3 linked regions of the Rattus norvegicus genome follow. The protein of the gene in region 3 purifies or fractionates together with the protein of the main gene of each other region. This does not show direct contact. Links are inferred from orthologs where the notes say so. Each region holds a gene or a part of one and is shown on either strand. Other genes may lie near its edges.

What was found.
Region 1: the proteins of Sdha (region 3) and Sdhaf2 purify together in Homo sapiens (co-immunoprecipitation; 3 studies listed by BioGRID and IntAct, counting the BioPlex papers as one, with this or other methods). This does not show direct contact. The link is inferred for Rattus norvegicus from reciprocal best matches to the Homo sapiens genes SDHA and SDHAF2.
Region 2: the proteins of Sdha (region 3) and Suclg2 fractionate together in Homo sapiens (co-fractionation; 3 studies listed by BioGRID, with this or other methods). This does not show direct contact. The link is inferred for Rattus norvegicus from reciprocal best matches to the Homo sapiens genes SDHA and SUCLG2.

Annotation. Positions count from the first base shown.
Region 1 is NC_086019.1:216,588,967-216,594,502, forward strand, and holds the start of Sdhaf2 (succinate dehydrogenase assembly factor 2, mitochondrial precursor), read right to left. Parts: upstream 3,703-5,536; 5' UTR 3,653-3,702; coding exon 3,617-3,652; exon of another isoform or gene 3,467-3,616; coding exon of another isoform or gene 3,461-3,466; intron 3,382-3,460; exon of another isoform or gene 3,231-3,381; intron 1-3,230. Other genes in the region: Cpsf7 (cleavage and polyadenylation specificity factor subunit 7), read left to right, coding at 4,573-4,626.
Region 2 is NC_086022.1:129,774,953-129,779,902, forward strand, and holds part of Suclg2 (succinate--CoA ligase [GDP-forming] subunit beta, mitochondrial), read right to left. Parts: intron 2,933-4,950; coding exon 2,833-2,932; intron 1,965-2,832; coding exon 1,874-1,964; intron 1-1,873. UniProt on the Homo sapiens protein: GTP-specific succinyl-CoA synthetase functions in the citric acid cycle (TCA), coupling the hydrolysis of succinyl-CoA to the synthesis of GTP and thus represents the only step of substrate-level phosphorylation in the TCA.
Region 3 is NC_086019.1:30,777,300-30,782,249, forward strand, and holds part of Sdha (succinate dehydrogenase [ubiquinone] flavoprotein subunit, mitochondrial precursor), read left to right. Parts: intron 1-2,135; coding exon 2,136-2,260; intron 2,261-3,442; coding exon 3,443-3,611; intron 3,612-4,306; coding exon 4,307-4,502; intron 4,503-4,950. UniProt on the Homo sapiens protein: Flavoprotein (FP) subunit of succinate dehydrogenase (SDH) that is involved in complex II of the mitochondrial electron transport chain and is responsible for transferring electrons from succinate to ubiquinone (coenzyme Q).

The sequences.
Region 1 (5,536 bases), about 190 Mb from region 3:
GGGAGGAGACAGATGAGGGGGGAAGAGCCCGCAAAGTAGCAAAAGACAGCTTCAGACTCCAAACCTAAGGTTATAACTCTAAGACAATGAAAAGAACTAAGTGATGACTTCCTTGCCACCAAGTCCATCTAAGAAAGCACAGCATTGGAGAAAGTCAATAGCAATATTGTTTAACTGCATAAAGACTTTAGGGATCTTAGCCTTATGGTTAGGCTTAGAACAAGGAAATTATGAGGGAGGAGAGGAAGTATCTGTGCAACAGCGAGTGCTTTAGAAAGCACAAGCAAAGGGCAGTACTGACCAACAATTCGCAGATCCATTCCCTCGTGAGAAGTCTGGACAACAGGCTCCTGCTCCCCAGATTAGCTCAAAACCAGCTGCGCTGAAGCCAATAAGAAAGGCTATGGACTGCACATGCCACAGCCCTGTCTTCCCCCAAATCCCCAAAGAACAAGATGATGGGAGAAAGCCCCAGCACCAGGCCTCTACCTGAGAGGGAAAGGTAAGACTCCTGGAATATCATTCAAACAGCTTCTGCTCTGGCTGAATCTAAGTGCTACAGGAAAGGGCACGTTTCTGTAGCTGTAGCGAACAAAGGTGATGATTTGTACCACATCATTCACTTGCCATGGTCCCCATCCTGCCTTACTGAAGAATGAAAAAACCAAAACAAAAATCCCACAACTCCCAGCTTTTCCCTGGAGATACAGAGCTGGGGTATCCATCTAAAGCTCCAGCTTCTCAAAGGTTGCCTACGGTTTTTATCTCTCTCGTCTCAGAGCAACAACAGGCCATGGCACATTCCAGATGCCTAGGGACCATGGAGACCAAGGGAGTGTTTAGTTTTGATGCAAAGGACCAAGGCAGACAAAGTAAGATAAAATCTAGTATTGTTTAGGAGCCTCTTCCCCATGGTTCAAGAAAGAGTCAACTGTATGGTTAATGTTCTGGAACATGGGGGCTGGCATTGCCCAAGGGACTGGCTGGTTTCTATTTTGAACAACTTGCAACACTAACACAGCCAGCATATTCTAAGAAGTCCAGATAGCCACCAAGAATAAGAAAGCAGAGCAACCAGCTGGGGCATGGTGCCTCATGCCTGTAATCCAAGCACTTGTGAGGCAAGAGCAGGACTACTATGAAGCTGAGGGGCTACAGTACCTGATAAACAGGGGAGCAGGAAGGAGGGAGGCAACACTGAACAACCCGAGTGTTTACAAAGAAACTGTAGCATCACATTGGCACTAGGGAGTTATTGATTATGAACTGATAGAGGAAGGTAAAGGGGCTTGCTGCCAAGCCTAGGGAGCCAAGTTCTATCCCCAGAACACAGACAGACACATATGCATGCACTGTCTTTTTAGACAAACAAAATAATGACTGAAACATCCAAAATTGGGAAAAAAGAAGTGGACATTCAAATTCAAGAAGCCCCCCCAAAAAAAACAGTATCACAAACCTAAGAAGTCCAGACTGACTAAGACATAAATTGTCTAGTAAGTCAGAAATGTGAAGGTACAAATAAAGCCACATGAGGGCACAATGGAAAAGTGGCTATCTGCAAGTCATGGAGTGAGACCACCAGAGAAAACGGTGCTAGCATCTTTGTCCTGGAATTCTGGCCTCCATAACTTTGAGAATATAAATTTCTATTGTAAGGCAGCTCCAGTAAATGAATACAGTATGCTGTAAAAATGCAGTCTCCTAAGCCACACACAGCCTAAGCATTCTGGACCAGCATCTCTAAGAAAAGGCACTTGAAAATGTACTTTTACAACATCTTTATGTGTGCAAGATAGGTGCATGTGGAGAGGTGAGAGGAACACCTCAGGTGCCAGTTCTTGCTTTCCACCTTGCTTTGAGACAGTCTCTTTGTTGTTCTTGTTGTGTGTGCCAGCCTAGCTGGCCTATGAACTTCCAGGGATTCTCTGGTCTCAAGCTCCCTTCTGATCATACTAGCATATGGGCAGGCCCTGAACCAGCTAAAGAACCAAGGATGACCTTAAACTTCCCATCCTCCCGCCACCAACATCAGAGTGCTAGAATTATAGGCACGCATGCCATACATTCTGTGGTATGTGATGCTAGAGATCAAACCCAGGGCTTTCATTCATGATAGGTGTTGTGTAGCAATTTCCTCCAAGATAAAATCCTCCTCCTCCCCCTCCTCTTTTTTTTTCTCCCCCTCCTCTTCCTTTTTCCTCTCCTCCTCCTCCTCCTTCTTATAAAGCCCTAGCTGACCTAGAACTTGACATCTAGATCAGGCTGGTCTTGAACTCAGAGACCCTCCTGCCTTATTCTACTATACCCAGCCAATACATAGGATGCTCTAAAGAACGGTAATAAATATATTCCGTCCTACAGGAATGCTCCTTAAGCTCAGGAAGCAAACAACTTAAAGGCTTCAGAAAGCCTCTGAAACTATACAAGGCCAGCCCCCACTCTTCCTATCCCCCTCCCCCACTCTAGGGCACCTAGCACCCTCTTTAGCTTCAGTGGTACCTGTACACACACACTTAAAACCACCTGTAACTCCAATTCCAGAAAACCCAACACCCTCATCTGGCCTTCATGGCCACCTACACACACGGGCATAACTCACAAAGGCACATAAACATAAATACATATTTTTTAAACTTAAAAAAAATGAATAAAGAAAGAAAATGAAATTGCCTAGCATGCAAGGCTCTGGGTTTGGCATTTAGCACCAACAACAAAATTGTCATATGAGATAAAGAATATTATATATATTAAAGAGTTAGCAAGAAAGAATGAAAATCATAAATACATGTGGACCTAATAGAGCACTCAAATATATGAAAGAGACCCTGACAGAACTGAAGGGGGTGAAAACAAAGATTTTAATGCCACAATTTAATAAGGAATAGAACATCCAGATGGGGGAATCAATATTAGACAACCAGAACAATACTAATTTAAGTATATCTAGCTGAGGTATACAGACATTCCACACAAGAGAGCATACATTCCTCTCAAATGTACGGATGAATATGCCCAGGAGCTCACATGTCGATAAGTTTAAGATAAACCATATCAACTAGCTTTCAACACTACTGGAATAAAACCTGAAAATTCTCAAACATACAGACATTTAAGATCAGGATGAGACAGAATGGCGAGCTTCAGGCCAGCCTGAGTAACAAATTAAAACCGGCTTTTAAAAAAGGGAGACGGGGGTTGGGGATTTAGCTCAGTGGTAGAGCGCTTACCTAGGAAGCGCAAGACCCTGGGTTCGGTCCCCAGCTCCGAAAAAAAGAACCAAAAAAAAAAAAAAAAAAAAAAAAAAAAAAGGAGGCTTTCGGGGGAGGTTCGGTAACTCTTCCTGGAGACATAAGTGAGATATGCCTTGAGTCTCGTATGGTAACTGGCCACTTAACTACATAGTATCCAGTATTCTCACTCGAACACACCGTGGGCTAAGTAACCAATGGAAAATGACCTGCATGCTCAGCGGCAGTATGCGCCTCGCCTTGAGGGGACCTTTCCCTGGTTCTGTGGGATGGGTGAATTCTCCCTACAGTCTTCACGGCACAGAGGAGGACGAAACAGTCCTAGCTGCCGCCCGCCCCGAACCCTAAATCTTCGGCTCTCTCACCCGCGCCAGCGTCGGGATCAAGGTGACCACCGCCATTTCTCCCTATAGTACAGGAAGCTAGCAACCGACCCTCTTCCGGGAACTCCGGGCGGCCGATCTAAGGACTTCACCCGTGGAGGTGGACCCCAAGCCGGAAGGCGCGTCCCAGCGTATGGCGGAAGTAGTGGTGCGTGTGACGCCGCCGGTAGGGGGGGCGGGACCTGGGGCGGAGAGCGGTTCGCGCGCTTCGGGCCTAGTCGGGACTCTCCGCGGCCGCCGCCATATTCCCGGTAACGGGGGCGCGCGGCCGGGGGCCGGCGGGGCCGGAAGGAGGGCCGGGGCTGGCGCCGCGGAGGGGAGGGGGTCGGTTGGGGTGGCGGCGGCGGAAGACGGCGGGTGGAGGGAAGCGCGGGCCTCTGAGGGAGGGGCTGAGATCCTGGAGCTGTGGGAGGGAGCAGGGCAGGCCTAGCCGAGAGCGAGGACCGGGCCGGGTTGGAGTGGAGGCGGCGGGAGCTTCCGGGCCCGCAGGGGGCTCCGGCTTGGGACGCCCCCTGGGTCTAGCAGGTGCGACGGGCTGAGCTTGCGGCGTTGGTCGCAGTGGTTCTTCACAGCGCGGCCCGAGGGCCCTCTCAAGAGTCGAGGCCTGCCTGGACTTGGCAGTGGCGCCATAGGCAGCTACGGGCGCCGACTCGGCGCATCTCCGGTCGGGCCCGCGGGTGATGGGCAGCGAGCCCCGCGAGCCCGAGCGGCCTGGGAGAGCAGGGGGCGGCGCGAGGCTGGGGGCGGGGCGGAGCGGGTGGGGCCAGGCTCGGGGCTGCCGGGATGCTGCCTCTCGGGAGACTAGAGGTTGTTGACCCTTGCCCTCCTCCCAGCCTGGGACCCTTGTGTCTTAAAATTTTTTACCCTTTTCTGAATACCGTAGTGGCATCTTTCTTACTTTGTCCGTTCTCCGGGCTCGAGAGCGTGTTTCCGGAGCCATGTCAGAAGGAGTGGATTTGATTGATATATACGCTGATGAAGAGTTCAATCAGGTGAGAGGAATTAGCAGCAGTTTTGGGTTTTCTTCGGTCAAATCTACTGACAGTGGTTTCTCTCTCACCACAAAATAATTCCTTTTAGTATCGAAGCGTTTCCCCCTAGCGGAGACTTTGAAGACGACTGACCATTCCTCTTTATGTTAATTTGAACCTCCAGGCTTCAATTTTAAAGGGTTTGCTTTAAGAGCAAATAAAAACCCAAGTGTAATAGAATGGTGAATCAGCCTGTGGAATTGTTTCCCCAAGTCATTCCAAAGTTGGATGAGTAACCATAATTAAAAATGAAAATTACATTTGTTGCAGTATTGCGGGGATAATTTTGATACTTGTTACTTTGCAGTTCTTTCAGCTTGCGGCTCCAGCATGTTAGTCCCTCCCCCTTCTTGTCCCCTCCCAATGGTATAGACAGTACGAGAGATAACTTTGAAAGACGGTATATCAACTGCGTTAAAGATGGGAGTTCTAGCTCCACTCCAGGTGTTTTCAATCTTTTTAAATCGCTTGACTGAGAATTCTGTGGGCATTTTGGTATGGATGGGAAGGAAGGTAAAAACCATTGGATAAAACTAGTTTAAAGGCAAGTCAAAGATTTGGTCATCCTAGTTTGAATTTGTGTTTTTACATTTTAAATGTCACCTTAAAAAGTAATCTATGAGGTTGAGTTCTTTGATCTTGAGGTCAAAGCTCAACGAAAAGTTTCTATTTAAAACTTTTATCTTTTTTAAATTTTAGTTATATTTTTTGTTGGATTTTTTAAATTTACATTTCAAATGTTATCCCCTTTCCCAGTTTCCTGTCCATAAACCACCTATCCCATCCCCCTTCTCCCTTCTTCTGTGAGGGTGTTCCCTCACCCACCCACCCCTTCCCGCCTCCCTGACATTCCCCTACACTGGGAATGTGG
Region 2 (4,950 bases), on a different chromosome or scaffold from region 3:
AAGGCTCTGCTGTTACTGGAGCTGTGTTCTGATGATCCTGGGCACTGGCTGTCCTAACAAGTTCCGCTCAGCAGGGAGACGCAACAGGCCAATTAAACAAACAACAGTGAGAAGCAGAGGACGGTCATTAATGTGCCATACTGGGAAGAGGACCCAAGAGATCCAGTCTCTGCCTCTGCCTCTGCCTCTGCCTCTGCCTCTGTGTCTCTCTCTGCCTCTGCCTCTGCCTCTGCGTCTGTGTCTCTCTCTGTCTCTGTCTCTGTGTCTCTCTCTGTCTCTGTGTCTCTCTCTGTCTCTGTCTCTGTGTCTCTGTCTCTCTCTGTCTCTGTCTCTGTGTCTCTGTCTCTCTCTGTCTCTGTCTCTGTGTCTCTCTCTGCCTCTGCCTCTGCCTCTGTCTCTGTGTCTCTCTCTGTCTCTGTCTCTGTCTCTGTGTCTCTCTCTGCCTCTGCCTCTGTCTCTGTGTCTCTCTCTGCCTCTGCCTCTGCCTCTGTCTCTGTGTCTCTCTCTGCCTCTGCCTCTGTCTCTGTGTCTCTCTCTGTCTCTGTCTCTGTGTCTCTGTCTCTCTCTCTCTCTGCCTCTGTCTCTGTCTCTGTGTCTCTCTCTCTCTCTCTCTCTCTCTCTCTCACACACACACACACACACACACACACACACACACACCAAGCCCATCTTTTGGATCCTGACATGAGTTTAGAGCAAGAAGTGTGAGTAGCTATGATATGAAAGCACTTCTGAGGGTGTTTTAGCAGGTTTTCTCTGGATTGTGTGAAACCTTCCTGGGAGACAGCAGGCTACAGCCTTTCCCCTTTCCCGACATTCCTTAGGAGAGTCCAAGTTCTTAGTGTGTGCTGTCTCACTAGCCTGAGAGGCTCAGAGGAAGACTCAAATGTCTCCTCAGGATATCTTCTGTTTTCCAGTGTCCCTATTTTGGCTAAGATTGACTCTACCATGATTTAATAAGCACAAGCTTTCTAAGGCCTTATCCAGAACTTTCTAAAGTTCTATGAAAACTAAAAATAGAATGTTCCACTCAGTTACCCCTAAGCAGAGCAGAGTGACAGAGGCTGCAAGTCTCTGATGCTATGGCAACAGAGCAGGGCCAAAAAGTGGGGCCCAATTTACTGTTAGGATTCGCTTTCCAGCCATATTGTCTTCAGGGCTGCCACATGTGACACACATGGGGCTCTGCTCGGGAGCTCACAGCTTGCACTGTGTACATGAGCCTCTGCGTGGTTTTCATTTTGCACTGCAGCATACACAACAAAGGGCTTCAGTTGATTGGCACATGAAGAGAAGAACAAAAGGCTGAAACAGGAGGGAGGGGAAGGCAGACTTGGCTCCTACATTCATAGTGGCACAGCAGAGGCAGGCCATTTTCTCTGAGCTTTACTTCCTCTTCATATGTATGTCTACATGCCAATGCATGCATGTACATGGGTGCACATGCCATACACGCTTACTACTAGTAGTCTTTACTAATCATCCACTTGTAGCAGTAAGTGGCTTTAAAGTATAGCATGAGGTATTTTTAAGAAAAACCACTGTACAGGCAGTTCTAATCAAAAGGACTGAGGTGGGCCTACGTGGGAAAAGGGAGAGGCTGACAGAGTGCAAGGCTACCCTGTCAAGCCCTGTCAGCTTCAAGCAGGATGCATCTGTGCTATGAATGGAAAACTGCTGCCTGGTCATTCACCTCACTGGGTTCTGGTGAATGGCCAATGTCCACAGTCCTTAGGGTCTTTCTTCCAAGACACAGCACTCCCTAAACAAAACCAGTGTAGTCAAAGAACAGTGTTTCAGGAGAGCCTGTCAGAGCAAGTCTACCTCTCTCTTCTTTCGTTTTAAGTGCATACGAAATGTCTAAGAACATTACCTTGTTAACTTTCACACCTTCTTTTGGAGTTTGTTTTGTTGCTAGATTATAACCAATCATCTGCTGAGCCAGCTGTCCCACCACTTTAGGGCTAAGAGGGACAAAAAAGAGGGGATGACAAAGAAAAAACAATTAGGACATATTGCAAATCACTATATAGCAGGGTTCACAGTATCAAGGGTCACCTTCGCCACCCCACCTCCTTACACCCACACCTCCTTATATCCACACTGGCCAGGATTACCTGAGCCACCCCACCTCCTCACACCCACCCTAGCCCGCATCGCCCCACTACCCACAGACTGCATATCTTTCCTTTTACATTCTAATTGTCTAGTGCTTCCTGAAGGCACACTGAAAGCCAAATGCAGATGAAGGAATGAGTGAATGAGTGAAGGGATGCTGAACTCTACTACCCCCCCCCACCCCCAAACAAATGTGTAAAGAGACAATACTGGTGCATAACCGACTTAGATCGAAACTGATAATGGATGATCTGGGAAACAGTAAACAATGAGAGGGAAAACATGGACCACAATCAATGAGAAGACAGTGATGGAAGAAAGGAAAGGCTTGGTGTGGGGCAGATGCTGGAAAGATGCTCAGACACAGGCAGGCGTAAACTATCAGCCCAGACGCCACAAAGACTCCACTGGTCACAGGAACCACAGAATAGTACTTATGGAAATGAGATGAAGGGAACATTATTCCAGTTGCAAGCCGTGTTATTTCCCGCTTTTAGGATGAATCACAGATTGTCTGGGAGAGAGGAAGTATAGCCCTACTCAGTGCAGGATACAAAACCCTCTAATGAGGGACAGAAGGCCTGGGGCAAGGCCACAGCCCTGCCAGAGTCTCCATTTCCTCTCTGTATCGCACACTGGCCCCAGCCCTAGACCTCCTGCTCAAGAATCCTTTCAGTCACGATCAGGATATGGACCTAAACCATTCAGACTTACTCTTTTGTTAAATGAACACCTCCTTTCAAACCGCTATCGAAGACACCTTTTCCTCTTCCTCCAGCTAAGATCTGGGCTTTTAAAACAATTTCCTTTGCATCTGAAAAAGAAAAATCCAGACAGTAGTTGTTTGAAATCCTTTCCTTTCTTCATCTCTTCTTTAAAGGGGCAGGAATAAAAAGCAATAACAGGATAGAACTTACACATGACTACTAAAAGAGCTCCTAAATCAACTTTCAAAATAAAGGCAATGAGAAACTTCCAAATAATTAAGGAAGCTTGTTTCCTGAGGACAGTCAAACACATCCCATCTGTGTAGGCACCTGACAGGCAGGCACACATATGGAGGAAGCCAGGCTCTTGTTCCCTTGCCTTCTGAGAGTGCTAGAAGGTGCTAAAGAAATCCAGGAGGTGGTGTGACTTTTACTGTGTCATGATGCTCCCATGTAGCAGAGGATCTGACTGTGAGCTGTGAGATGTCAGAGGGAGATGATGGGACTGGGTATGGAAAGGGTTTACAGACAAGACACAAAGGCTGACTTTAATAACCGTATTCCTGGAAACTAACAGTGTTCTGAGTAGTTGCTCTATATATTGACAGGGATGGCCAAGAAGGAAGGAAATGAATTAAAACTAAAAGCAAGCAATATTTTTTTATAAAGTATTGGCAAAATGAAAAAATCTCCTAGGGGGAAAAGGGGTTTGGGAATATTTGTTTCTCGGCTCATGCAAAGAAAGAATAAACACTCTGCTTCTGACCTTTTAGACCACAATTATAAACTCAAACCTGTCTACAGGCCTGGCAGGGAAGTGGGGTGAGAGTCACCTAGTGATAAATGGGGTCTCTAGCAAGCAAGAGCTCCCTTTCCCTATCTGGGGGGAAGGGATGGTCCAAACCAAATATGTTAAAAAAACAAAAAACAAAAAACAACCACACGACAACAACCACCACCACCAAACAACAACCCCGCACACATCCCAGACCACGGCTGACCTCGCGTTTGTGTGTCGTCTTTATTGAAATTAGAGAACTAAATCATCTTCTATTAGGCTGCCATAGTTTTCTGTTCTGCCTCTGGGACTCAGTTTACTATTTGAAACAACAGTCTGGATTGTTTTAAGGACCAGAGGAAAAAGAGCTGGGAGGGAGGTGGCTTAGTGGTTAAAGTGCTTGCTTGTAAGCATAAGGACCTGAGTTCGGATCCCTAGCACCCACATAAACCATGTAAGAGGGCAGCACAAGCTTGCTGTCCCATGCTGGGGAAGGAAAGACAGGAAGCGCCTGGAGTGCAGCTGCTGGCCAGCCTCTCTGAATCGGTGATCTCCAGGCTCTCTGAGAGAACTGTCTCAAGTAAGATGGGGACTGACTGAGAAAAACACCCAGCAGCGAGTCCACTCACTCAGCTACACTCCCACGCATGCGCACTCTAAATATTCAAACAAAGGGACGAACGCTTTAAAAATAATAACTCCGGTAATTCATGCTGAGCTGTCTGAGTGGTTGGCCACTTCAGTTAGAAGTCACTGCCATTGCTGCTCACAGTCAATCAGGCAGAGGATGAAGGTCAGAGATCCGCAAAGGTTTTACTATGGGGAGCGATAACAAGACCGCACAAATGGAAGGCCTGGGGTCAGAAAGTGATCAGCCAGCCCATGCTGAGGCTGAAGCTGCAAAGTGCATTTGCTGCTCTCCCTGCTGGACTCCTGTCTCTCTCATGAACCTGTCCTCCCACAGTCACAGCTCAGTCACGGCTCCTTCTTAGAACACAGCCTTGTCCCGCCTGTGACTCTTGCTTCTGCCATCAACATGAACCATCAGCAGCCGATCCCTGGCTTCGAACAAGGTGGCAACTGATAAGTGAGTTCTGACCACCGCACGGGATAGCAGCCAGTGCATGTGCAGAGATACTGCACTACAAGAAGCCGGACTGAAAAGCCCAACTAAGGGCTGGGGTACATGCGCCTCAGTAGGAGAGCAAGCCTCTGGGTCAGTGGCGTAAGACAAAAAGCAAACACATTCTGTAGAGGTAAACAAAAGGAGGAAAGAAGAGGCCCCTTTGAAAAGAGGTTATTATAAAGAAGCACACAGAGCTACGACAGCACGAAGCTCGGTACAGG
Region 3 (4,950 bases):
GAGGCAGAGAGGATCTGGAGTCTTCTGAGACATCAAAGTGGCACCTTCTCAAACAGTTCCACTAGGCGGGGACTAAGTATTTAAATGTATGAGCTTATGGGGGCCGCTTTTAATCAAACCAGCATACTGGGTAAAAGCAGTTGCCATACAAGTCTGGCAGTTTCCTGAGTAGGAGAACAGATAAAGTCCTTAACGTTTTCCTCTGACTCCCATATTCACGCCATGGCAGTGCCTGTTTTGTTTTGTTTTTTCTTAAAACAATGGGCGGAGAAATGGCTCAGTATTAAGAGCTGCTACTCTGGCAGAGGACCTAAGTTCTGGTCCCAGCATTCAGTTCAGAAGGCTCACAACACCCTGGAACTCCAGCTTTGAGGTAGCCATTTTGGGCATTGACACACATGTTGCATAACTCACACAGACACACAAACATAAAATCTTAAAAAAAAAAAATTAAGGTATAGCGAAAAGTGCCCTAAAAGTCTAAAGGTAAATTGATGGTTACTATGGAAGCGCCTCACAAAACTAAGGAAGACTGAGGAGAGGTCTGAGCAGACAAGGTACTTGCCGCCTCCATATGAGAATCCGACCTTGGATGCCCAGATCCCACGTAAAACTGAGCAAGTGTAGTCCTGTGTGCGTTCCATGACTTGGGAGGCAGAGTAGGGACTCTCCAGCCTATGCTGCCTAGAGACACTAGCCAGCTAGTTGACAAGCTCTTGGAGTCAATAAAATGTAGTGCAATCAAGAAAGACACCCATTGTCATCATCAGGCCCACACACAAACTCTCATACCTGAAGCCAGAAGAGTGAAACTTAACATGGCGTGGCAGTCCCACCATAGCTGTCTATGGGAAGGGGATGAAGTCAGCATAATCACGTCATGAATAGACCACCTATGCAAATGTTTGAGGTAGTACTCACCATGACCAGACTGTGTTACTGTAACCAAAACAACATGCAGGGAAAGGGTTATTTTGGCTAATGTTTTCAGTGGGTTCAGTCCACGGAACATGGATTGATGTGTTTGAGCAGGACAAGTATATCATGGGAGACAGCTTCATGGCAAAAAGACTGTATATGTTCCTAAGGACATGCCTTGAGAGATCTGCTTGCTCCAATAAAGCCCCATGTCTTAAAGGCTTCACAATCTCCCAATAATGCAGTAGCCATAGACCAAGCCTTTTCAACGTACTTTCGTACGTTGGGGACATTTATATTCAAATAAAAACAATCTTAGTCTGAGACGAGCCGTTTCTGAAATCTAATAACATGTTAGCTGTAGTAATAATACAGTTGCCAAGAGTCTTAAGTGCCCACCCCACGAAGCAAGGATAATTATGCAGTTATGTGTTAATGAAATTGGTTACCAGTGTACATTATCTGATCATATGGACTTCTTACAAGTTATGTGTTAATGAAATCGGTTACCAGTGTACATTATCAGATCATATGGACTTCTTACAAATGCATAGTAAAGCTGGGCGAGAAATAGTAAAGGAAAATAACAAATCAACAAACAACACTTTTCATTATGTGGTGATCTGAACGGGAATGGCCCCTATAGACTCCTGTGTTTAAATGCTCGGCCCACAGGGAGTGGCACTATTAGGAGGTGTGGCCGATGTCACTATGTGGGCAGGCTTAGAGGTTTCTTGTACGCCAGCTAGACCTAGTGTGGCAGTGTCCTTTTGCTGCCTGTAGATGAAGATGTAGATCTCGGCTCCTTCTCCAGCACCGTGTCTGCCTGAGCGCTGCCATGCTTCCCACCATGATGACAATGGACTGGAACTCGGAAGCCAGCTCCAATGTTTCCTTTAGAAGAGCTGCCGTGGTCATGTTGTCTCTTCACAGCAGTGAAACCCTAAGACTCATTATAAAAGTTATATATCCATATCAGGAAAATTCTTTGAAGATAAAGCACAGAGTACCAAAATACAAAAACACAGCATTTCCCTGCTCTGTCTCCCAGCGTCCAGCCCATAGCAGCGTCACAAATGTGGCCTCCCAGTACTGCGTGCCATGTATCCAAGTACATTACAAGCAAGGGGTCGTTAGAGGTTGGGGCTCCAGAGGCTGCACTACATAAGAAGAGGTTTGGTGGACTGACGCTTACACTCACTGTTCTCTGTTTTCAGGGGCTATGGGCGAACCTACTTCAGCTGTACTTCTGCCCACACCAGCACAGGGGACGGCACAGCCATGGTCACTCGGGCTGGTTTACCTTGCCAGGACTTAGAATTTGTTCAGTTCCACCCCACAGGTAGGACAGAGCCTGTGTGGCTCTGGGCTCTTCTGTGTATTGTAAGCATGCAACACCTATTAATTGCTTTGGGGTTCACGTCTCCCTCCTTGAGTCCTCACGGAGGGCTTTCTCCTGGGTCCATAGAGGCAGTTCATGATAGATTCTGGGTTCAGGGTTTAGGTACTTGTGGTAAGCGGGATGTGAAGTTTGAACAGAGCAGACTGCAGCTGATGCCAAAGTTAGGGTTTGGATTTGGAAGAGAAAGAGCTAGTTGTGGGAGAAATTAGCTCTTCCTGTCAGAGGAAAGAGATGAGCAAAGATAGAATAAAAAGTGAGTTAGTTGTCTGTCTTCAATTTCTGTCTGGTGTCCCCAAGCCTCTGGATTGCCCCTCATGTGCTGTGATTAGCACTCCATTTTTTATGCTTTCTTTTCAACTTATAAGAAATAAACAACCTAACAGATGTTACTGAAGCTGTGAAAAGTGAAAAGCACTTTTAGAGCATGTAACCTTTTGGGCATATAAAAGGAAAGTTAGCGTTAAATAACCCTTAATTAGCGTCTTCCCTTAAAACTCAGTGTGTGGCATTCCTTGTTTTTCCTCACACTGAAGGACACAAAATTATATTAAGAACCTTCATCGTGCTCCTCTGGTTTGAATGTGGGCTTTGCCCTTTAATAGCTCTGTGACTTAAATGAGTTACTTTTTTTTTTTTTTTTTTGCCTCTGAGGAGAGACTTCTTAGTACCTGGGGCCATCATAGACCTGAAATGAGTGAATTTTTAGACTTGATACAAACATAAATATTAACCACTAAAATAATTTTCGCTCTTTGGGTACTTAAGATAGAAATTCCCTAGGCTGTCTTATTCCTGCTTAAATTTGTTGCCACATTTCTTGGTATAAAGATATATTTAAAGAAACTAAGTCTACTAAGCATAGATGATGTTTAATCAGAGTATGGGTTAGATCCTGTGAATGAGCTGCTGTTGGTGGATCTCTTGTGCTTTCTAGTTTGTCTCTGCTGCTTCGAACACACATTCCTCCTCCTACTTGACTTTTCTTCTTATTTTGAATTTAACATTCTTTGTGTTTCCTTTCCTTTTCTCCCAAAAAGTCACTTCTAAAAAAGGATTAACCGTTTGGAGTGGTTGCCTAGTCCTCATTCATTCATAAACATTTAGTCACCTGGGTTCTTACAGGTATCTATGGTGCTGGCTGCCTCATCACAGAAGGGTGCCGTGGAGAGGGAGGCATTCTCATCAACAGCCAAGGCGAAAGGTTCATGGAGAGATATGCCCCTGTTGCCAAGGACCTAGCATCAAGAGATGTTGTGTCTCGATCCATGACTCTCGAGATCCGTGAAGGAAGGTTTGTAATTCCCCTCCAGGGATGCGGGAGTTGTAGGCAGGTGGATAAACGTGTCCTCTTTCTCTTTGGAAGCCATTAGGTCACAGCTATATATTTTAGTACTTTAACTTTTGCAGACAGGTACCCTACCCTCAGGGTTAAGGTTAGAGAATAAAGCTACTCCATTATTTTGACAAGCATGTTAGTTTATGGTATATCCTGTCTTCTTCACATCAGCTTGTAAACATATCCTCGTGTATTCTTGGTGTGAGGGTGAGACTCACAGCCTTAGGAGTCACCACAGGCGTCTCGGCAGGTGCTCTTCAGGGCTTGTGTGTCACTTCTCTTTCAGTAAAATTGCCTCAGGTTCCTAGTGCCTGGCTTTACTCTAGGGACTTAATATGGGTTTGACACTTTAATTTAAAACTTCGAAGTCTGAAACTTTCTAGTACATTTACCAAGGAAAACAGGAAATCATGATACCCAAGGCAAGGATGTAAGATTGGTGAGTATAGGCTTCTAATTTTTGGCTTGTCCTTGTACAGAAGTATCCCTGACACACTATGATTAAAAAATACTTGAAGGAAAAAAGGTATCAATGGGACACTGACCATAGATGAAGGTGAAGTTTCCCTCAAGATCAAGATTGTCAGGCTCACCTAGTGGCTGTCCAGCTTCCTTCCTGTCACTGCTTCACGCTCAGTGTTGCTTTGCAGAGGCTGTGGCCCTGAGAAGGATCACGTCTACCTGCAGTTGCACCATCTGCCCCCTGAGCAGCTGGCCACGCGTCTGCCTGGGATCTCAGAGACGGCCATGATCTTCGCCGGCGTGGATGTCACCAAGGAGCCCATTCCAGTCCTTCCCACTGTGCATTACAACATGGGCGGGATTCCCACTAACTACAAGGGACAGGTGATAGTGACGAGGCTACTTCACAAAAATCCCTTTAGAGCTTAGATGCATAGAAACAACAACGCAGTGTATTTGATAGTTTAATATTAATTATAAAATGTCATACCTGCCAGGCAGTGAGAGGCTAGGTTATGTTCTTGAATGTGCATCTGCTTGGGAATAACAGGTAGAATGTTATTTCCCCTCTACCTGTAATCCTGTGCACTGTTTCCATTTTACCTGTAATCCTGTGCACTGTTTCCATTTTACCTGTAATCCTGTGCACTGTTTCCATTTTACCTGTAATCCTGTGCACTGTTTCCATTTTACCTGTAATCCTGTGCACTGTTTCCATTTTACCTGTAATCCTGTGCACTGTTTCCATTTTACCTGTAATCCTGTGCACTGTTTCCATTTTACCTGTAATCCTGTGCACTGTTTCCATTTTACCTGTAATCCTGTGCACTCT